Drosophila melanogaster: one gene and its partners. The main gene of each other region encodes a partner of the protein of the gene in region 4 in a complex. Each region holds a gene or a part of one and is shown on either strand. Other genes may lie near its edges.

Region 1 (4,913 bases), on a different chromosome or scaffold from region 4:
ACGCCACCTGTTCCCTTACGCGCTGCAACGAGAAAATGGTCCAGACCATCCTGCACTCCTTCAAGATCTTCAACGCCGAGGTGCTCTTCCGCGAAGACTGCACCGAGGACGAGTTCATCGACGTGGTCACCGCCAACCGTGTGTATCTGCCCTGTCTGTATGTCTACAACAAGATCGATCAGATCTCCATCGAGGAGGTGGACCGCTTGGCGCGCCAGCCAAACTCGATAGTGGTTAGTTGCAACATGAAACTTAATCTGGACTACATGATGGAGGCGCTCTGGGAAGCTCTCCAGCTCATCAGAGTGTACACAAAGAAGCCAGGCGCTCCTCCAGACTTTGACGATGGATTGATTCTGAGAAAGGCAAGAGACTGTTTTCCATTCATCCAATTCCTTCTTCAGCCTGGTAAAGCAACTCTAATTCCTTATATATTCCTTGTTTAGGGCGTCAGTGTGGAGCATGTGTGCCATGCCATCCATCGCACGCTGGCGGCGCAGTTCAAGTATGCCCTGGTGTGGGGCACCTCCACGAAATACTCGCCGCAGCGCGTGGGGATTGCCCATGTGATGGCCGACGAGGACGTCATCCAGGTGGTGAAGAAATAAAGATTGTTGCGTGTGAAATATATATTCTATGCTATAACTGAAAGTGAAAGTCTAGGCCCCTTTCGACATAACGATTTATTGAAACTTGTAAAGAGTGCCATTCTCAATTGCCTGTCGCATTGCTGGCGGAACTGGCCGCCGCTGCATAGGACTTGTTCATCAGAGCCGAGATGTTGGAGAAGGGCGTTGGACCGCTACTAATCCGTTGAGGTTCCACCGTCGGCAGCGGAGGATTGTCAATCCGCTCGAAAACGTTGGTGGTGTCTCGCAGGCGGTAGCGTCTGAGGTTTAGGTAGTGCTCCTTGTGCTCCTCCACCCGCTGATGCACCTCGTGGAGGCGTCCCGCCAGCGAGATGAAACTCTCATTAAGTTGGCGAAAGCCACGCTTTAGATCATCCGGCGAAATACTCTGCGGATTCGAGATCGCGTGCATGTGGCGCTCGGTCAGAGCGATCTGCTGGCGAAAGGCGATCAAATCCTGCTCGTACTTCGCCACCAGGCACTGAAAGTACTGGAACGGAGCATTGTTCTCGAACTGCAGGCCGGCTGGGGTGTCCTGCGTGCGTTGGGCCATCTCCAGAGATTGAATCGCCTTGACGGTCTCTTGGCGCATCAGGCGGATCTGCTGATTGCTGCCCTCAACTAAAGTGGCCATATTCTGCAGCGCCCATTTCAAGTTCGTGATCTCGTGGCTGACATTCGTGAATTTGGAGGTGGATGTCCGTCCAATGTCAGAGGAGATGGTCTTCTGCTGTTTGATATACGCTTTTAGGCCATCCACCGTTTTTATTATCTCGTCGGGCACTTGGGTTTCCTTAATCTGGAGTGGTCGAAAATAAAATGATTATTTTGTTTCTCTGTGAAAGACTCATGGTCAGCACCTTGATGCCATCTTGCTTATTGTCCCCCAGCTTTGGTTGCGTGGCGGTCACATCGATCCCCCCCAGACCCACGAAAGTCGATGCTGCCGGGGCAGCTGCCTGACCCGCTGGCTTGCTAAAGATTCCTCCTCCTCCTAGGGTTGTCGTCGCATTGGTGGTTCCCAGTTTCAGACCCGTGTTGAAGGGTTGTGCCGTCGCCGTCGTCGTGGTTGTGTTAAAGTTCAAGCTGGCCGCCGTGGTGGCCTGTGGCTTGGGGAAGGAAAACGATCCAATTCCGGAGCTGAGGGATGCTGGCATCGCAGCTGCCGCCGTTGTGGCGGTGGTGCCGAATCCAAAGGCCGGCGGCGCGGTGGTCGGCGCACTTGTGGCCGGGGTGGCAAAGGAGAAAGTGGGAGCCACAGTGCCCACGGCTGGTGCAGGTGCTCCGAAGGCCGATGCTTGCGTGGAAGCTGGCGCTCCAAACGCCGTTGTGGCTGCTGGTGCTCCAAAGGCGGATGTAGCGGCGGGTGCTCCAAAAGCGGGCGTGGCGGCGGGTGCTCCGAAAGCGGGAGTGGCAGCTGCAGCTCCAAAAGCGGGCGTAGCAGCTGGAGCTCCAAAAGCCGACGTTGCTGCTGGTATGCCAAAAGCGGGCGTGGCAGCAGCCGTTCCAAAAGCCGGCGCCGCAGTGGAAGTGGCGCCAAAACCAGGCGTGGACGCAGGTGCTCCAAAAGCCGGCGTAGCAGCTGGTGCCCCAAAGGCCGGTGTGGCCGCGGGAGCTGCAAACAAGGAGGTGGTGGCCGGAGCAGCACCGAAGGTTGGCGTAGAGGTGGCTGCTCCAAAGGATGGAGGCGGAGCAGTCGTCGTCGCCGGTCGCGCGCCAAAAGCAAAAGCGCCGGTAGCAGCAGTGGCGCCTCCAATGGCGTTGTTCGTGGTGGGCGTAAACATCTTTAGGCACCCCTCTTAAGGATTTATACAGGAATTTTAAACAATTAAACTATATTTACTGCAACAAATTTCGAAATTAATTTTGTTTAATGCCTGAGCATCTGTGGTTTAACTTCTAGGACAGAGATGACACTATCGGTGATATCGATAGCTAGTCAGCAGAGATTTATTCGGAAAAATATCAACAAAGTATTCAAATTGATTGAAATAAATACACTATGGCTAAAGATATATAAAGTATTTGCAGCTTCATATAGTTACGATTTGTGATTTTCAAATATTTAATTTTGGTCTGAGGTGTGGTGAGTTCGGTCCACTACAACATGGTTGTTATTTAATATCAAACGATAGCCTTCAGATATTAATATGAATAAATTATTTCAAAATTTAATCTTTATGTATTTCAATTTTAAAATAATATAAAGAATTTTTTACGAACTAATTTCTTACAATAGCTTTAAATACAGCCGGAACTATTACAGTGCGAAGCAGATTAAACGCTGCATTTAAATTAAAATGAATTAAAGTTTACAAAATTATAAAAGAAAAATATTCATGATGGGAATAAATGAGAAAGTTAATGCTTACAAAAACGTCAAATTATTTAATACTTCTGGCCAATACAATACCAAACAATAATATACAACTAAGCTAATCGATATGCAATCGACCGAGCCATCTCCAAGAGTTTCGCAGCACCCAGCTTTCCGGCACACTGCTTACCCACACCAACTAGCCACCGTGGTGAGTTTGCGTGTGTGTGACTTCGTCATATGACATTTTTCACAGTTCGTCGTCGATTGTGATTCTGTCGCACTTGCTTTTTTCGACTTGCACAGTATACACCACGGCGAGGAATTAGAGAAGTTTGGAAATTATGGCCAGCCAGACGCAGGGAATCCAGCAGTTGCTCGCTGCCGAGAAAAAGGCAGCCGAGAAGGTCGCCGAGGCTCGTAAACGTAAGTTTCATTTTCAGAAACAAAAATCCAATTGGAAATGGCAGGGCGACAAGTAACTGCGATTTTTTCACCACCCCGCCCCCGTGCTACCATAACCACCATCACCGTTGTGTGTGGGTCACATGATGTGGTGGAAAAAAGTAAATACAAGTCAATCCTCCATAACTCGAGATATAAATCAAATTAAACTAAATTAAATTAAATTAAATTAAATTAAAATTGTTTGTGGCCACTAAGACTGCAACTTAAGTGCAGTAAATAGTTTTTGTGCGAGTTGGCACTTTAAGTTATGGAAGGTCATCTTGCGGAGGGCTGATTTGCCAAGTTGAACTGATATGATCATCTGGATTTCTGGGTAATCCCGCAGGCAAGGCAAGGAGGTTGAAGCAAGCCAAGGACGAGGCTACCGAGGAGATCGAGAAGTTCCGCCAGGAGCGCGAGCGCGCCTTCAAGGAGTTCGAGGCCAAGGTAAGACGCCACATAGGGAAACTTATGTACATGTAATACCGTGTGAACCCCGATTACAGCACATGGGCAGTCGCGAGGGCGTGGCGGCCAAGATCGATGCGGATATCCGCGTTAAGCTGGCCGACATGGACCGGGCCATCCAGACCCGCAAGGACCCGTTCATCCTGGAGATCCTGCAGTACGTGTACAACATCTCGCCCGAGGTGCACAAAAACTACAACCACAAGTAAAGAGGTGGCCCCCCAAACTGTGCGCTGTAAATTCAATGTCCACGTTCAACTCTAATCCATAATTTAGACCCGTAATAATAGTGGTTAATCTAACTGGAAACACTGCTGTATTATTATTCCATACATTAAAGTGAAAATTCGTTGTTGTTCCATGTAGAAAAAAGCGAGCATATTAGTTTGCCTCCCACTCGCGCGGGATTGTATTATCATTGTTTTGTGTTCTGCCCAATACACGTTGTTGTTTTATCCGAAAAGTCATGTGTTTCAATTGTTTTCCTCACTTTCTTCCTGCTCGCATTTTTCATATCTGCACTGCAGTCAGCTGCTGCGTGATAAGATTTTTGCGGCGAGTTCATTTCATCGGTGCTCAACACTGGCGATGGCGATAGTCACGCCTCTGGGTGCTTAAAAAATTCAATTTTAAGATTAATCCGCTTAATTATATAGTGTATAGACTCGGCATAAAATAAAATGTACAATGTAAAGCAATTTTATGTTTTCTCTTTTAATGGATTGTTGTCTCAGGCAATCGTCTAACAACCAAATGGTTTCCCTAAGTAGTACGATTGACATATGCTTGGAAATTGATTACCGTTGTACTCTAACCAACACAATACGACAAAAATATAATTTGATAACATTATATTCCAGTTCCGCAGATAATTACGAACTCATTGAATCTGTCCAACTTTGAGTTGTTATCAAGCTTACCACTTTTAAGCTGCGCGCTCAGTTATCGATATATTATCGAGAACCGACTGGCACTTGCCCACCATCTGAGCACTTTGTTAGTTTGTTACAGAACATTGGTAGAAACGGTTTTTCGCTCTGTTGTCGCTCGCT
Region 2 (5,498 bases), on a different chromosome or scaffold from region 4:
TGCACTGCCTCGTTAAAAAGGTCCACACAACGCTGTGGATTCAGCTGAGTGTCGCTTCTAATGGCCGTATCGTGCTCAGCGGCGTATTTTAGGCGGCGAAATAGTTCCGATCCCAGATTAACGAGCAAATACTCGCGGGTCTCCACTTGGTGAAGATGTCCAACACGTTTCCTTTCCGTGGCTTTGGCCAAAAACTTTACAGCCGATTCCAGTGCAATCATTAAGCGCTGGCGGTTGTTTCCAGATTTTCGCAAACGAAAGATGTTAAATGAGCGCAGACATAGTTCCTGGAGAGGAATATCAGGTTGAACAAAGGCGGTATTAGCTGGATGCTGAACAATTACAGCCACATCATGACAGCGGCTTGCTTGCAGCAATGGTTTCAAGCGATCCGGCAGTAAACGAATGTCATCCAGCCCGATTAAGCAAATAATACCATTGGCTTCGGCCAGGTCGGTGGCTTTCCAGTCGTGGTCATCATCTCGGATCTTCATCACACTCAAGCCAATACCCTGAGAGAAGCCTCTGATGTAGCCTCCATCCACAAAACGAGCATCCGGCGACTGTGGCTGCTGCAGTAGTCCCCTATCCAAATCGCAGTTCAACTGGAGACCCTCCTGGCCGCCGGACAGGCTTATCAATAGCTTGTAGAAGCGTCTAGCTCCTGGTTGCGCTACCGGCAGACACTTGTCCAAAACGTGCCACAGATCCAGTTTCAGCCAACTATGCTCCTCCAGGCCAGCCAGAAGTTTGCCATAATCGCAGGGCTCGCCAAGTCGATAGCGTCTGCTTAGACGCAGTGAATCTTCCATGCTTCGTTTGTTCACCACTCCTTCGGGGTTTTCGGCTCCAAAACTTAAAGGCAGTTGGTTAAATAGCGTGTCCTTCTCCTGTTGCGTTCGCCGATATTTCCGCCATCGTCTGATGCACACCCTCATGACGCCTAGTTCGTAGATGGATTGCTCCATCTGCCGCTCGACGAGATCGCGTGTTATTGAGTCCAGCATGGATTCGTAGGAACGGCAAGCCCGACTATGCGACATAAACTCGCTTTGGCAAATCTCCGCGAGGGTGTCCTGGAATATTTCCTGATACAACTCCAAAGTCCTGGTCTGTTTGTGGGCCTCCCTTTCCTGCTGCTGCACAAAAAACAACTGTTCCAGTTTCAGTTGCCTCTCTTTTTCCAGCTGAAGTTTCTCCTGCTCCCGCTGGCGTTGTTCCTCCAGTTCCTGCTGCTGGCGACGCTGCTGCTCCTGGCGTTCCCTGAGTTTCTGCTGACGCACTCGCTCAGCCTCGGCCACTTTGGCCTCGTGAATAGCCATTAGCTCAGCTTCCCGCTTCTTTGCAGCGGCAATGGCTACTTGGAGGGCCTGATGCTTGGCCTCTTCTTGTGCCCGTCGCTGCTGTGTAGCCGGAGCTTGTTCCTGGAACTCCTGAGCACGTGATTTGGGAAGAACAAAACTGAATCCATCGATGGAGGAGGCTGGCGGAACAGCAGCCGCAGCAAATACTCCAAACCCTGCTGCCGTTCCGTCGGGTTGCATGGGCACCTTAAACAAAGTATCGCTATGTTTTGAGACTGCTGGTGGCTGCGAAGGCATTTGTGGCTGCATCTCCTCTTGCTGCATGCCAGCCAGCTGATCCTTGGCCGTCCATGCAATGCTCTTAAGCATTCCATAATCGTCGAAGCTATTGTGCGGTCGGTGATTGAGGTAGAGGTCTCGTGGTGGTAAAGGTTCCCCACTGACGACTTCGCCCACGCTCTTCACGCGTTTCACTTCCACCAACTGGAAGTGGATAATAAAAATCAAATTAATAAAACAAAAAAAAGAAAACCATTTACTTACCTCATACTGTCGCGGCAGCTTGTACTCCGTCTCCACCGTGTGCATTCTGCTTAGCACAACTCTGCCCGCCTCGTTGATCTGCAGGCCATAGTGTTGGACAAAATCCGCCGCCTCCTGTTCGCTGGCAAAGCTCAGCAGCTCGGCGATGTAGCTGAGAGGCAGCGAAGACACCTCATCCTTCCGCGGAGACCTATACGCCTGGATCAGACGATGCAACCCCAGCACGCGCAGTCGCGTAAAGTAATTGACTAGGATGCAGGCACTCAGGTAGCTGGTATCCTTGTCAGCCAGCAGCTGAAAGAACCGCACAAAATTCGTGTCCTGCAGGGCCAAGTAGAACTGAATGGCTTGACGCACTTCGGGACAACTCTGCAGTTCCGCGGGCAGCTGACCGATGTCCCAGAGAAAGTTGGCATCGGCCAGATTGAGCAACACAATGTAGCCCCGGAATTCCGCCTCTTTGGGACATGGAACGCCCTTAATCCGCAGGTCATGGTACATGTACTTCAGAGTCTGCAGGCATTTGGTTAGATTCTCGGCGTTGATCTTGCTGTCAAAGACGCTGGGATCGGCGTCAACCAGACGGGCGGCGCAATGAATGTGAAACCGGGCGCACTGCTCCACCAGCTTCACAGCGCCCAGAGAGCATAGCTCCTGCTGGGTGATCTCCTTTCGGATGGACCTCGTGCGATCCCAAACGAAGTGGAACCAATCGCCCATATGGCTTTGCGGATCCTGGCGCTCGCTAATGTCCATGATCTCATGCATTAGATAGCTCATGGTCATGTGCAGGGCAGTCTCATTGCGCAGTTCATGCGGCAGTGGCGTCTCCTGGTCGGCACTGCTGCGCGAGTACTGCTTCAGGGCTCTTTCGTGACAGATTAGCTCATCGGAGCCCGGTTGTAGTTCATAGTAGGCTACCTGGCGCTGGAATTCTCTCAGCACGCGCTCCTTTTCCGGACACATATCGGCGCAGTGACCCTGGGTGGCACCGGACAGCTTGTGTTGCGTTCGGTTCAACCGGAGCAGCTTATCGCGGGCATCCAGCACGCTGAACTTCTCCTCGCTTGTATGGGCGGGTCTGCGCATCATGTTCTCAAGATCCCTGAGCTGGGCAGGCGTACGATCTCTGCTCACCGGCGCCGTTGCGGGCCCAACTGGTATGGCAGGCAGCATTGAACTGCCACCGCTACCACTGCTGCCATTTTGTGGTTTTTTTATCGGCTTGCCCGACCCATACTCATTGCGCCAGCCCGACTGCAGTGCACTCAACTCCGCCTGAATGTCAGGATCCACCCACTCCTCCGTTTTCTGTGCCGGCGCCGTCTCGTTATCAGCATAGGATATATCAAACAGGTGACCCTGAAAGCTGGCGCCATCGAGAAGCGCCCGCGCCGCCTCGTCCTCGCTGGCATAGCTTACGGTGCAGGTCATTCGCCGCGGACGCAGGACGAAGTTTACGAGGGTTCCAAAACGTCCAAAGTGCGAACGCGCCACATATTTGTCCAAAAATAGCTCCGGAATGTTTCTGCATCTGGGGATTCGTATGGAACTATAGTTGACATCGCTCTGCCTTTGATGAACGAACTTTTACTCACAATAATGTCTTGTAGTTGTAGCCGCCGGGACGGGGTTCTGCCATCGATCGAATATAGTTTAAGGTTTTTAGTTTCTTTTTTAGCTGAATGAGAGCGAATGTGTGCTTTGTTGTTACAATATTGCCGTCAAGCGATTGCCGGTAATCGATAACGCAAATCTGAAAATGGCGCGAAAAAAATACCGCAATGGCTATCCCACCCACACAATATCGTTCAGGTTTAATTGAAAATTTTAATGTTTTACATTCGAGATGAATGTATTTGCCTAATAAATAAAATGTTAACAGGAGTTGGTAAACATATATTCTTAGGAAATTAGGAAATGCTTGGGGCGTTCCTTAAACTGTTGAATGAAATCGAACATCTTCTTATATTATCTTATATATATATGAATATATATATAGGTGTAGCAATCTTTTTAAGTTCTTTTTATTCTCTTTTAAGCTCTCGATTCAAACTCCTCGATCTTGATAACACTATCTGTCGTTCTTAGGACTATACAATTAATCCTATCGAAATTGGTTGTTCCTAGTATTTTATATTTATACATAGCTTACATAAGAAATATTTTCATCTTTACACTTTAATATTTTAAGACGATTAATTACCTCTTAATCAATATCTCTATTTAATAGGCTGACTTATATAAAGCAATGCAAATTCAATAAAACTTATTGCAGAATTAGATGGCATTTAGCCCAATCCCTGATTTTAAAATAAGCGGGAGATAACGAGCAGTAGTGTGACCGCCCAGTAAAGTATAACCAAATACCGCGAAGAAGCCAAGCTGCTGTTCCGATAGTATCGATGAGCCTGCCATCCCCAGAATTTTGGTCATTTGTTGTTGCTCGCCAGGGCGAATTCGAACTCGAAGCGCAGTAATCAACGCGCTGCTCGTGGATTTTTTTTGCATTTTTTTGAGTTCAAATAGTTCGTTAATAAGAGTGGCGGTCAACGATACTATTCCACTTGCAATCGAAATATGAATAGTTGAAAGTGATAAACAACAAGAAAGAAGCGACGCCAACGGGCGAAAAAGGAGATAACCGAAAACGAAAAACACGACAAAAGCAACGTTAAAAGAGAGTAACAGAAAAGATATAAAAACGATGATCGAACCGTAAATTTAAAACCATGCAATCTACAGCGCATAATATATAATAATTTGACCAAAACAAATGCCAAGTTTGCGAGCGAGAGCGAAGAACGTTAAAAAAAGAAGTAAATAAATGATCTTGGCCCGCTGTTTGTTGTTCTTGTTATTATGGTTGCCGTTGTTGTAACTCGTTTTTTTTAATGCGCGCGTGTATGAATCACACAAACACAACAAAACAAACAATAACAACGATGCCTTACGGTGAAATATGCTAAGTAAATAGCAAAAGAGAGTTCCAGTTTCCAGAGAGCGACAGAGAGGGAGAGCGCGCGAGAGCGACTACAAGTACATACTGGAAAGCGATCCCGATCCTTTTTCCAGGCACGCAGCCATCTCGCTCGCACCCATGCCGCCCTAGACCAACTTTTGTTGCAGCTGCCTAACAACCAACAATACAGCAACAACAAGCGCACTGTGCACGCGAAAGGAGCAACAAGGATGGCGATAGCTGGAAAGCGACGACGATGATGATGATGCGGTCGTAACAACAACAGCAACAAGAACAACAAAAAGCTGCTGCAGGCAGACGAGCATAGCGTTAAAAAAAAGTAGCTGCATACAAAATAGTAATAGGAAAAAATCCGAAAAATTCGAGAAAAAAATAAGTTAAAGAAACGATCGCCCAATTTAATCAAGTGCATATATGTGTGTGCAAAATAAAAAGTGCATTGCAGCAGTCAAAAATACATACTTATTATCGCAGATCGAAGACGATAATAGTTATTGTTAACACGAAAAGTACGAAATGAAGGTCACCGTCTGCTTCGGCGACGTTCGCATTCTGGTTCCCTGTGGTTCCGGCGAACTCCTCGTCCGCGATCTCGTCAAGGAGGCCACGCGACGCTACATCAAGGCGGCCGGCAAGGTAAGGGGATATACCTGATATATATGATATAG
Region 3 (6,092 bases), on a different chromosome or scaffold from region 4:
CGTCATCAGGAGCCCGTCTGCGCTTCGTACCAGTATATGGGATAAGCGGAACGGAGTGTGGCTGGGAGAGGCGGCGCGGCGCAGACCGACCTTCCGACCTTCGACTGAGTGGCGCACAAAACCAGAACAAACTATCGCAATCAACTTATTCCAATTAACAATATTATCTTAAATAGACAGAAGTGAAAACAAATGCATTTATACGAAACGAGGGCCAAGCTAATGGCTTTTTTTTTTCTTCATTTTTATGGCAGTGTACTAGGATCTCGAAACGGATCTGTTAGAAACTATGTAATGGATTCCTAAAATCTCCGACAGTTGGCAGCCATTGTTGGCAATACTATTTTGATACAAGTATATTGATGTGTTCTTCATATGTATGTCCTGGGGTGTTCCTGAGACCTCTTGAGGTTTCAATGCAATAGCAAACGGTGTCTCAAATTATGCAATAAAATACTTAATACTTCTTATCTGAAAGTCTTTTGTGGATATTCCAGTGGGTTAGTGGCTTGTTGTGATACATACCATACATTCGGTTATTAAGTAGCGAAAATGCAAAATTTTAATTGTTTGCCTAAACCGTGAGTAATTAACATATACGTGTGACATTTTGAATTTTGTTTAGTTTTCTTATAACACATACATACAAAATATTTTCTTTTAAATTTTTCGAATGCTTAATGCTTTAAATGCGTTGCGCTTAACAGAAAAATTCCAATAAAATTATTGGAAAGAAAAAAATATAATCATCAATAAAATTTTAAACGAACTGAATGAAATGCATATAAACGATAACTAGGTATTAATCTGGCTAATGTTAGTGCATAAGGATCTCCAGCTGGACGAGCCGCTGGTTGGTGGTCGATGGCATTCGGTATGGAACGCTGGCAGCCATGTTGGTGAATGCCTTGGCCCTGTCTCGCAAATGTTTCACGGCGGGCTCCTTATTGACGCACTTGCTTTCATCAAAGAAACCGGAAGCTGTTTCATTCGAGTCCATTAGCTTCACATACTCCTGGTATACAATGTCCATGGACGCCAGCAGGATATCGGGCAGCACTTTAATGACCTCGGGACCCATCCGCTTTATGTTCGTCACACACTCGTCCACTTCCAATGAGCTGGCGGGTATCAGATGATTGTTGGTCAGGATTTCTAATGCCGAACGCAATGCGCCTTCGTGATAGTGGTCAAAGAACTTCATGACCTTTGTCAGCACCGTATATGTGACAACAACTTGAACCTCTACGTCCGATTTACGCACGACCAGCGCCGCATCTAGTCGATTGATAATATCGCCCAGCCGGTTACGCACGCTTCCATTCTGCGTTGGTTGGTGGACCACCTGTGCCAGTAGCGAGTTCACCAAACGCAGTGCCTTGTCCAGCTGGCCACCAATAAAGTAGAGCTCGATGGCCAATTCGTAGTCGCCGCGTTTCGACAACTCATCGCCCACCATTTCGGCCAGAGAGTACTTATCGCATTCATGAATTTGAAATTCCGCATATATGCCGCTAAATAAAGGGGAATGAATAAACCATTAGCTATTTGCCAAAAGGATTTTGAAATCTTTTAAGAGTACCAAAAACGTAACATACCCATAGCGCAAGCCGTTTTTCTTATCCTCCGTCCCGAAAATCAGCTCTAGCATTTCGTCGTCGCATTTCTCAACTAGCAGATCGCAGACGCAGGTGAGCATCACGTTGCCGCGTCCGTTCTCGGATTTAAAGTTGCGCAACAGGTAATAGTAATGCAGCGCCTGCGTGGTGTCCGTTCTCTCAAAGCACTTGGTGTACATGACGATCAGACGCACAAGATTGAGTCGTTTCATTGGTTTTGGGTCGTCAGGGTCGGAGCTCAGAAGGGATTGTTCCACGGAACGTGGTGTTCCCAGCATGGATATCTCGTTTAGGGCAATGGCCATGTGGATAGCGTGCGTTCGATTTTTCTCGGTGCGGGCGAGGAATTCAATGGCGGCCTCAAATTGGCCGGTAAGCGTCAGCACCTGGAAGTATAGCGCCGCCTTCTCGCGCGCATTGAAGTAGTTCTCGCCGTACTTTTCTAAAATGAGCGATTGCAGGCCGCTGAACGTTAGCTGCTCCGTGTTGCTGTCGCTTTGGTCCGACCTGCGCAGAATGGACAGTTGCATCCACAGGAAGTCGTCGATGCTGCGCATTAGTTCTACGTGAGTGAAGTGCGGATCACACGCCAACAATACGACGTATACCTAATGGAAAAGAGAAAAACATATGATTAGCACGAATATACGCAACAAGTTGTAGCAAAAGATGAGCACTCACCGCCTTTTTGTAGGGATCCGTACAGGCGCGCAGTCTACTGTTGTACTCCAACTTTAGCTGACCCTCAAGCTTTACCATCAAGTTGTCCCTATCGCCGTTCTTTCGCAACGTCAATAGCGTAAGCAGGTCGGGGCAGGTTCCCGATTCCTTGAGATACAACGCAGCCGCGTCCATATCGCCACTCCGCAAGCTATAGTAAACATGTGGCCACAATGGCTGGCCATTGTTCACGTCATGCAGCCCGTAGAGGGCTCGCTGCCCCTGGAGAGTAACGCCCACATAGGAGCGGACCATATGGTACACGCTGGGGATTCCTCCCCGCCGCGCTTTGGCCAAATTCGCGACGATAAACTTTCTCATATACGTCCTATATCTGCGCTCCAAGTACGTGCGGGCCTGCTCAACGAATTGCGGTGATGTCTGACGATTCTTGATTGGATCGATGGTGCTCGAGACTGGCGGCAACGCGGTCATAAACTGCAATACATTCCACATCTCGGCTACGGACTCATCGTTGAAGGAGTCTTGGACCACGTGGGCAAGGGTCGACAGCAAGTTAGGGCGTCTGCCCAGGATGATCGACTGGTTGTGGATGGCGATCTGTTCAGCGTACATCTGCTCATGGCCATTCAGTTGGGAGTACGGAGTGGGCTCATCAGCCATGGCCGTGGGCACTATCTGAAACTGGACGTCGGGGAAGTCCTGTTGGTTTGGTCCGACCAGAGCGTTTAGCAGCGCTTCCTTCTCCTCGCCCCACTCCGAGTAGATGCAACGCCACTTCTGTCGCTCCACAGATTTAAATATCTGCAATGGATTGGTTAATGGAGATAGAAAGTTCAGAATTTTGGGTGTCTGCCTGAAGCATGTCATTTGGCGCACTCACACTGCGATTCGTCTCATCGATAACTGAGAGTATGGCGTTCTCCCGCTCGTTCTTCAGATAGGCCTGCACATTGGTCTCCGTCACCGGATCAATCGGCTCGAAGGTTTGGCGGGCGCTGAGCGACTCCAGCTTCTGTGTAAGCTTGGGCAGGTCCACGCCCTTAGAGCCGAGCAGTATGTGGCTGCATTTGAATGACCGGTTAATATGACAATTTTTGGCGCCTGGCCTATAGCGAACTACTCACGCCTGCAGATCATTGGTGCCCATTTGGGTGACACGCGAGTGAAACTCCTTGGTTGCCTGCAGAACCTGGGACATGGTCCGTTCCACGCCCGGCACCTCCGTGTCCGTATTGGTCTCGTTCGTCAGGCGCTGGGCCTGCTTCAGCAGTTCCATCAGATCCATGTCGTGATATTGGGATGGAAAAGCCGGTGCCAATAAAATGATATTTCCAACGAAGCGCACACCAAGCTGCTAGTGCTGCCACCTGGTCGCAGTCCGGATTATTTCGGCGCCATAAAATGTTTGCAATCGGTGGTATTCTTTTTGGTATATTTAATAGTACAACTGTTATATGTTAGAATAACTATAATAATGTCTACAGATGGTATATAATTTAAAAGGAATATTTGATAATTAAAATCATTAAATTGAAAAATTTATATAGATAGCAGACTAAGAAATTATTTCTCAATACCTAAAAGTTGTTATAAAAACAAAGAAAATAGTCGATTTCCCCGAACGCGAAATTTCAAAATTTTTATGGAATATCGATATATTGGGGAATAAATTGAGAACAAATGGGAGTTTTGTAGGTATAAGGTATTTTTGGTATTACGCAATCTGTTATTGAAATGTCCCAATAACAACTGTTATTGAGAGGGAGTTGTAAGTACAACTTTAAAAACATTTGGTATTAGCTTGGTATTTATAGGCCGGCCGAAAGGCAGGACCGTCTGGTAACACTGAACAGCAGGCGTTAGTGTATTTCGCGCAGTGCAGATTGGTTTATTCAGCGGCTAACCAATTCAATCGTGAATAGACTTTAGCAGCGCGCAAATCGTAGAACAGAACGGCATATTTTTTTTAAACACTGCGAGGCGAGCTTCTTCTTCCCTCCGTCTCTCTGTGTGTGTGTGAGTGTGCTGCCTGTGTGTGTTACAGCTTGTGTACGTGAGTGTGTGTATTGGCAAAGGAAATTAGCACAACAAAAGCGAAAAGGAAACGAACACGCACGCACCTCGTCACGCGGATAAAGAAAAAAACTCTTCGATCTGATCAGAGATATCGAGAATAAACGATAAAAATAATAACAATATCGCAATGTCGGAAGTTGAATCGCAGCAGAGCCAGGAGACGAACGGCAGCAGTAAATTCGATGTGCCCGAGATAGAATTGATCATAAAGGTGAGCGAACAGCGACATTTGCATACCCCTGCAGTTTTCCATTTCGCTCTGCGCAAATTTCCGTGCAGAGTGAAAATGCAGCCGGGGCAAAAGCAGAAGCAAATGCAAACAAAGGCAAAAACAAGAAGCGACTGGGAAAACGCGAACTGCCGTTTGTTTCTCCTCCTCCTCCCTCTTTTCGGCTTCTTACCCCTGTTCGTTCTTCGTTGTCTTCTTCTTCTTCTTCTCACTGTGGCACTTTGCAGTGTGTCACATTTGGTTAAAACGAACAGAATACGTTTAGCACACACCGCCCCCTCCCCTCTCGCCGACGTTCCCCTTTCGCCTTGCGGTTCCTAAGCATCGCCAAAACCGGTTTTCTCCTTTTCTCCCTATCGCACATTCACACACACATACACACACACATACACACACACGCACGCACACTATCGCATACACATGCATTCGGGCACATCTGCACAGAACGAAATTGTTGATTGAGTTATGATTTTCAGAACTCCATGATTACCATTATAAAGCATCCAAATTAAATATTACAGCATACCTTTTTGGTGCAATACTCTAAAGCCGCCCTTTTTCCAAATTATCCGAGCATACCAAGCTGTTCATATGAAATATCTTTTTAATATTTTATAATTAACAATTAATCATGATATTGCTGTGTGCGCACAGTCTGAAATTTGTGGAACGTAACATATTACTTCGGTTCTTATCTGCTAAAAAATTTAATCACATTTCATTGCGCCAATTGCTCAACAAATGCTCCTTCATCATAGTTCTCCTAAGCCCCCCGCATCGCCCCCCTTCGCAACCATCAGCATGTTTCTCTCTGTGTGTGTGTGTGTGAATTAGAGGTTCTTTTTTATCTTTTAGTGATTTCTAAATTTCTTGACACATACGTCATGCTCCTCCAAAGAATCGAAGAAAACAAAAAGCTAGCACTCCGCACATTTGCGGTCAAGATAATAGCATTGAGAAGCCAAGATTCCTAAAGTGTGATTAATTAAATGAATTTAAATCATAGAACTTAACTTTAGATTGCTCAATATGTAGTGTTTTATTTCTTTATGTATTACAAATAATCGATAATAAAAACTTGTTCGATTTTTTCTCCTCGAATACAACGCTTTTCTTATCAGTTCTGTTCTTCGATAGTGGAAAAAAAAACATGTGATAAAACAATTGTTCATTGGCATCTTTCTTAAAGGTGATATTATTGCAAAATGAGTCAAAGAAAGATTACGAACCCTTTGGTTTTTTTTTTTGTATTATAGTAGAGGCCGCAATCTATTTCTTTCCCCGGAATTGTAAGTCGAGCATGAGTCCACTTAATTTTGTTTCTTTTGTTGGTTCCCACTGTTTGCCGAAGTAATTGTAATTGTTTTCGGAACACTTTGGAGCCCTGCTGTTGTTGATTCTATTGGCAAACTCGACTCGACTCAACTTGGCCACTCATCCAGCCCACGCAAATGGAGACCGCACCTCGAGTCGTCTGCCCATGA
Region 4 (5,223 bases):
ATACAAGCCCACTTGGAGAAGCCTCTTTCGCCGCCGAGTGTGGTCAGTCGCGGACTCAGCAAGAGCATGGAGATACCCACTCCGGTTAGCAACCTCAGTGATCTCAAGCAGCAGCCGGTGGAGCAGGCGGAGCTCGGCATTCTAGACTCCCAGCTGGTGGAGTCCATTATCGATGGCGACGGCCACCTTGCCGCCGATGAGGATGACGATGACGACGAAGAGCGGGGACCACGCACTTGCTGCGAGCGCATCGAGATGTACCTGGACATCAGTCTGCTGCAGGACCCGAGCTTTATCCTGATGTGCCTATCCGTCACCTTGATGTCCGTCGGCTGTCCCTACATGTTGTACTATCTGCCCGCCCACGTTATTTCAATAGGTATACTATTTAAAATGTTCAAAGTATATTCTTTCGGCGTACGATTTTAAATATTATAAACTTGGTTCATCTTTAGGATACAATAAAAGTGAGGCGGGATACCTGGTGGCCATCAGCGCGGTCCTAGATTTAATTGGGCGCCTTGGACTTGGCTGGCTGTGCGACCTGCAGCTATTCGATCGCAAGAAGACCTACACCTTGTGGTGAGTACCAGATAAGGTTTATTTTTCGATCCAAACTAATCACATTTCCCTATATCGACAGCATTTTGGGCGCCGGATGTGCCGTGCTCACAATTCCCTTCGCCAAGACTCTGGTTTTGGTGGGTCTATCGGCCGCTGTCTACGGACTTTGCCTGGGTAGCTGGTATGTACTTATGCCGGTCCTCCTTGCGGACGTCTTTGGCACGGACAGGATCAGCTCGAGCTACGGGCTGGTGAGGATGTTCCAGAGCATCGGGGCCATATCGGTGCCTCCGCTGGCAGGACTGATGCGAGACCTTTCCGGAGACTACGAGATATGCTTCTACTGCATGGGATCCTGCATGGTGCTCGGGACCACTCCGCTGATTGTGTGGTCCATCCTGGAGGCCCGCAACCATCGGTTGTTTGTTCAGCGCGAGGAGGAGGAGTGCGAGGAGGCCTAGAAATGATTCGGATTCGTTGGTTGCCCCATATGTTAATAGTGTTTTAGTAGCGATCAAATACTAGTTGAGTTCCTGAGTTTCAGAGTTCGAATGCCTCACCGATATTGCTGATTCTACCAGTTACTATTACTACTATCCGTACGTTCTCATCCGTATCTTTGTATCTTAATCAATCCCCATGCCCACCCGCACCCAATCGCTTGTTATCCTTCCGTTGAGCAACAGCAAAAGGATGTGTAAGATGATGATATTCAAACGAAGAAACCAAACAACCTAAACAACCAACAACTGAGCACCAAATGTTGCGCAAAAAGAACTGAGTTTAAAAGACATGAACTACAAATACCCGTATATAACTTTATAATATGATAACTACGATCAATGCCCGACTAGATGGTTATATAGGCCGACTATAGTTGTAGGTTCGCACATCCATATCGGAAAGGACTAAACTTTGTGCAGGAAAAATTAAGTGGCTTTAGACAGAAGGGAGGCTTGAATGGAGAACATCACATTACATTACCCTAGAATTAAAATAGTTGTTGTGAGACATTTACCCATAAAGACAATTACCAAATAAACACGAAATCAAAAGGTTAATCGCGTTTTATGGAATTAAAGGGAATGATTTCGCTTGGTTTGGGTTTTGCATTCGTTTATGTTATTAAATAAAGTCCTTTCTTTTTTTATTCGTAATAAAAACGGATTTTTCAACCACGTTTAAAAAATTTTTTTTATGAATGAATTTATCTCTTTTTAAAGAAAAACATTTTGTTTTATTAGGCTGTGAATAGGCTGTTATAACGCTGTTGAAACAGTGAGAATAATATACTCGAATCGATAGTACCGAAAAATATCGATATTGTTCCATCTCCACTGCATTGACGTTCATTTTTTCGCGTCCCTAAAGCGACTTTGTGCACAATTCGCAAAAAATTAAGACTAAAGTAAAGTAAAAAGTAAGAAAGTAAACTTCGCACCGCTCCATATAAATTTAACCGCTGCTTGACAAGGATCAACTGCGAACATGGATCTCAGTGGTCCACAAACTCTGAACAACATACTTCAGCCCGACGAGTTGAAACTCGTGCCGGAAGACGTCCAGAAGAAATTGTCGGAGTACATCAACAATTTCTCAGATGAGTACTGCAAGAACCGTGCGGCCGCCAATCGGTTGGGTAAGTTTTTATATTTGTATATATACTAAAATGCGCCATATTTTGCAAATAACCCTTTATTTGCATGCGTATGCTTTTACCTCCAACTTTGCGGCGTTTACCGGCTCAGATACCGCTTCTTGTAATAAGCAATCCGCGACTGTATGGTTTCTAGCGTGGTAAACACTCTTGCGCCATTTACATATTTTTTGTATAGAAATTTAAATATAAAATTCCGGGTTGTTGCAATTAAAAACAATGGCTGCTTGCAGCAACATTATTTTCCTTATTAATTTTCACCTCACCGGTGTGGTAACACTGGCCGGACATTTTCCCACCAAAACAGTTGATTAGTCCGAGTTTGAAATCTTCAGGGAATTTCTGTGTATTCATTTTAATCCAAATACTTTGTGGTTACTTAAATCCAGTTAAGAAGATTATTTATTTTTGCCCTTTTCACAGCCGAAGCCGAGCAAAAAAAGGAAGAGCTGGAGAACAAAATGGAGGACTATCTAGTAAAATTTACCAGCTTTGAGTTAAATGTAAACGAGCTGCGCACTCATCTAGATCAGATGTCTTCGGAACGAGTTAACCTAATGGACACGATCGCCAAAGGCGAGCAAACTATATCACAGTTGCGCAAGGAAAAGGCGTCGGTAGTTGAAGAACGCGATTCGATGATGAAGGTAATCGAGCGCCAACAAGCGGAGCTGGAACGATTGAAGCAGGATCTGCACACCTACCAGCAGCAGCTGAGCAGCGCGATTGCTGCCAAGTGCGAAGCCATTGCTCGCGTGGACGAAATTCAAAGTAAGGAAGTGGCTCTGGAGCTCAAAGAGAACCGCATGGAAAGCGAACGCGATATGCTGCACAAGGAGATTTTGTTAATCAGCGGAGATCTGAACAAAAGCAACGCCGAGTTACAGAACATCCGACGGGAGCACACAATAAACACCATGCAGCTACAGTCTTGCCTTAAAGAAAAGACCGAATCGCTAAAGCTGATGCAGGAACAGTACGAACAGGCCGTCAAGACCATCGGGGAACTAACCAGCAAGATTGAAATGCAAAACGACACCGCCTTCAAGCAGAACCAGGCCACGGAAGAGTATGTGGGGAAGCTGAAAAAGGAACTTGATGCCAAAGAGAAGCTTTTTGAAATCTTTAAGAGCACCGAATCCGATCATCTGATCCAACGGGAGGAACTCCTACAGGGCATCTCCGAAATTAAACGTTTGTTAGAGGAGGCCGAAGAGCAGTGCGCCCAGTTGACGGAGCAAATGGAAACCATGAAGCAAAAGCACAGCGCTGAGTTGGACGAGCAAAATAAGAAGATTCAGGCTATGGAACAGGAGCTAGCAAGTGCCAACGATTTGCTAAAACAGGCCCGGGAAAGTAATTTGGAAAGCGCCATATGCCAGTTGGCTCCCAGTGCGGCTGTGGCTAGTCGCCTTATCCGCTCCGATCTATCGCTTACCGAACTTTACTCCATGTACGCCAAAAGCAGCGAAGAACTGGAGATGCGAAACTGCGAAATTGAGCAGTTGAAGTTGCAGCTCAAGTCGATCATTGCTGAGATTTCAGAGAGTGCACCGATTTTGGAAAAACAGAACTCCGATTACCAAAAAATGAAGGAAACTAACAGTGAGCTCCTGCGGGAGCATGATGAATTATTACAAAATAAGCTATGCCTTGAGCGGGAATTGGAAAGGGCCTTATCTACCCTTAATCACAACCAAAATGAGAATAAGAAACTAAAACAGACACACACCGATCTCAGCCGACAGGTGTGCATGTTGCTGGACGAATTGAACTGCATAAGGGCTGGAGTGAAACATGTACGTATCCAACCAACTCGTCAGCTACCCACCAGCGAAAGTTTGATCAGCGATAACTTGGTAACCTTTAGTTCTATTGAAGAGTTGGTGGATAGAAATACATACCTCCTGAATATGTCCCGCGAGCTCACAGAACTTTTGGAGGCTAGCGAAAAGAACCAAGATAAGATGTTGCTGGAGCAGTCTAAGAATCACATAAGAAAACTGGATGCGCGTTTTGCCGAATTGGAGGATTTATTAACGCAAAAGAACAATACGGTTACTACACTACTATCCAAGTGCGACCGCTACAAGAAGTTATATTTCGCGGCTCAGAAGAAGCTCGGTCAAAATACTGTGGATCTGGACGACTCCAATCTGGAGCCTAACGACTCTGCACTGGATACTTCAGAGCAGCCGGCAGCCAATTTTGAGGAGAGCAGGAAACTGGAAAAGAGGGTGCGACAGCTGGAGCAACAGTTGGAAGGGGAGGTCAAGAAGTATGCCTCACTGAAAGAGAACTACGACTATTACACTAGCGAAAAGCGTAAAAACGATGCACTGGCCCAAGAACAGTTCGATTCTATGCGTAAGGAGGTGCGGGAGCTAACCAGCAGTAACTGCAAGCTTATGAACACCACCGAATTCCAGAAAGAGCAAATCGAACTACTTCACAAAAATATAGGCACCTACAAGCAGCAGGTGACTACATTGGAAGAGCGTACCAAGAACTATGAAAAGACCATTATTAAACACGAGCAAACCGTACATTTGCTCAAGGACGAAATGATGGCGGCACACCGCAAGCACGCAGCAGCCGATGCAGAGGCTCAAAGCCTTCGCCAAGAGAACCGCATTCTAAGGGACACATCTTCTAGACTGCAGATCGAAAAGGAGACTTATCACCGCGAGCAGCAGAGCCAATCACTGCTTCTAAACAGTTTGGAATTCATAAAGACCAACCTTGAGCGATCTGAGATGGAGGGTCGCCAGCGTTTAGAGCAGCGTTTAGATGACACTGTACGGGAACTGGCTGCTCAGCGTCGTCACTTCCAGGAGGAGGAGGAGAAGTTCCGTGAATCAATTAACGAGTTTAAGCGACAGGCGGAGACGGCCATCAAGTTGAAAGATGAAGAAAAGCAGCTGGCAGACAAGTGGCAAGCGGAGCTTACCAGCGTTCGCGAAGAACTTGCTGAGAAGGTCAACAAGGTCAATGAATTAAGC

Evidence for each region.
Region 1: Mgtor (region 4) and Nup58 share a complex: the UniProt entries of both Drosophila melanogaster proteins name them as parts of the nuclear pore complex.
Region 2: Mgtor (region 4) and xmas share a complex: the UniProt entries of both Drosophila melanogaster proteins name them as parts of the nuclear pore complex.
Region 3: Mgtor (region 4) and Nup93-1 share a complex: the UniProt entries of both Drosophila melanogaster proteins name them as parts of the nuclear pore complex.

Annotation. Positions count from the first base shown.
Region 1 is NT_033777.3:19,642,665-19,647,577, reverse strand, and holds Nup58 (nucleoporin 58kD), read right to left. Parts: upstream 2,553-4,913; 5' UTR 2,414-2,552; coding exon 1,490-2,413; intron 1,429-1,489; coding exon 712-1,428; 3' UTR 672-711; downstream 1-671. Other genes in the region: CG6195 (uncharacterized protein), read left to right, coding at 1-365, 447-608; Vha13 (vacuolar H[+] ATPase 13kD subunit), read left to right, coding at 3,291-3,372, 3,740-3,840, 3,900-4,070. UniProt on the Drosophila melanogaster protein: Component of the nuclear pore complex, a complex required for the trafficking across the nuclear membrane. Together with Nup54, required for transposable element silencing regulation in ovarian follicle cells.
Region 2 is NC_004354.4:17,155,726-17,161,223, forward strand, and holds the start of xmas (xmas), read right to left. Parts: upstream 3,582-5,498; 5' UTR 3,490-3,581; coding exon 3,446-3,489; intron 3,382-3,445; coding exon 1,848-3,381; intron 1,788-1,847; coding exon 1-1,787. UniProt on the Drosophila melanogaster protein: Involved in mRNA export and mRNA coupled transcription activation.
Region 3 is NC_004354.4:13,820,423-13,826,514, reverse strand, and holds Nup93-1 (nucleoporin 93kD-1), read right to left. Parts: upstream 3,690-6,092; 5' UTR 3,589-3,689; coding exon 3,428-3,588; intron 3,365-3,427; coding exon 3,184-3,364; intron 3,105-3,183; coding exon 2,301-3,104; intron 2,228-2,300; coding exon 1,599-2,227; intron 1,515-1,598; coding exon 818-1,514; 3' UTR 605-817; downstream 1-604. Other genes in the region: jub (ajuba LIM protein), read left to right, coding at 1-45; Clic (chloride intracellular channel), read left to right, coding at 4,507-4,590. UniProt on the Drosophila melanogaster protein: Required for nuclear pore complex assembly, maintenance and function. Required for nuclear import of phosphorylated Mad via importin msk. Has no role in classical nuclear localization signal (cNLS)-dependent nuclear import via importin-beta.
Region 4 is NT_033778.4:11,850,704-11,855,926, forward strand, and holds the start of Mgtor (megator), read left to right. Parts: upstream 1-1,913; 5' UTR 1,914-2,052; coding exon 2,053-2,203; intron 2,204-2,644; coding exon 2,645-5,223. Other genes in the region: Sln (silnoon), read left to right, coding at 1-379, 456-582, 644-1,025. UniProt on the Drosophila melanogaster protein: Component of the nuclear pore complex (NPC), a complex required for the trafficking across the nuclear envelope. Functions as a scaffolding element in the nuclear phase of the NPC.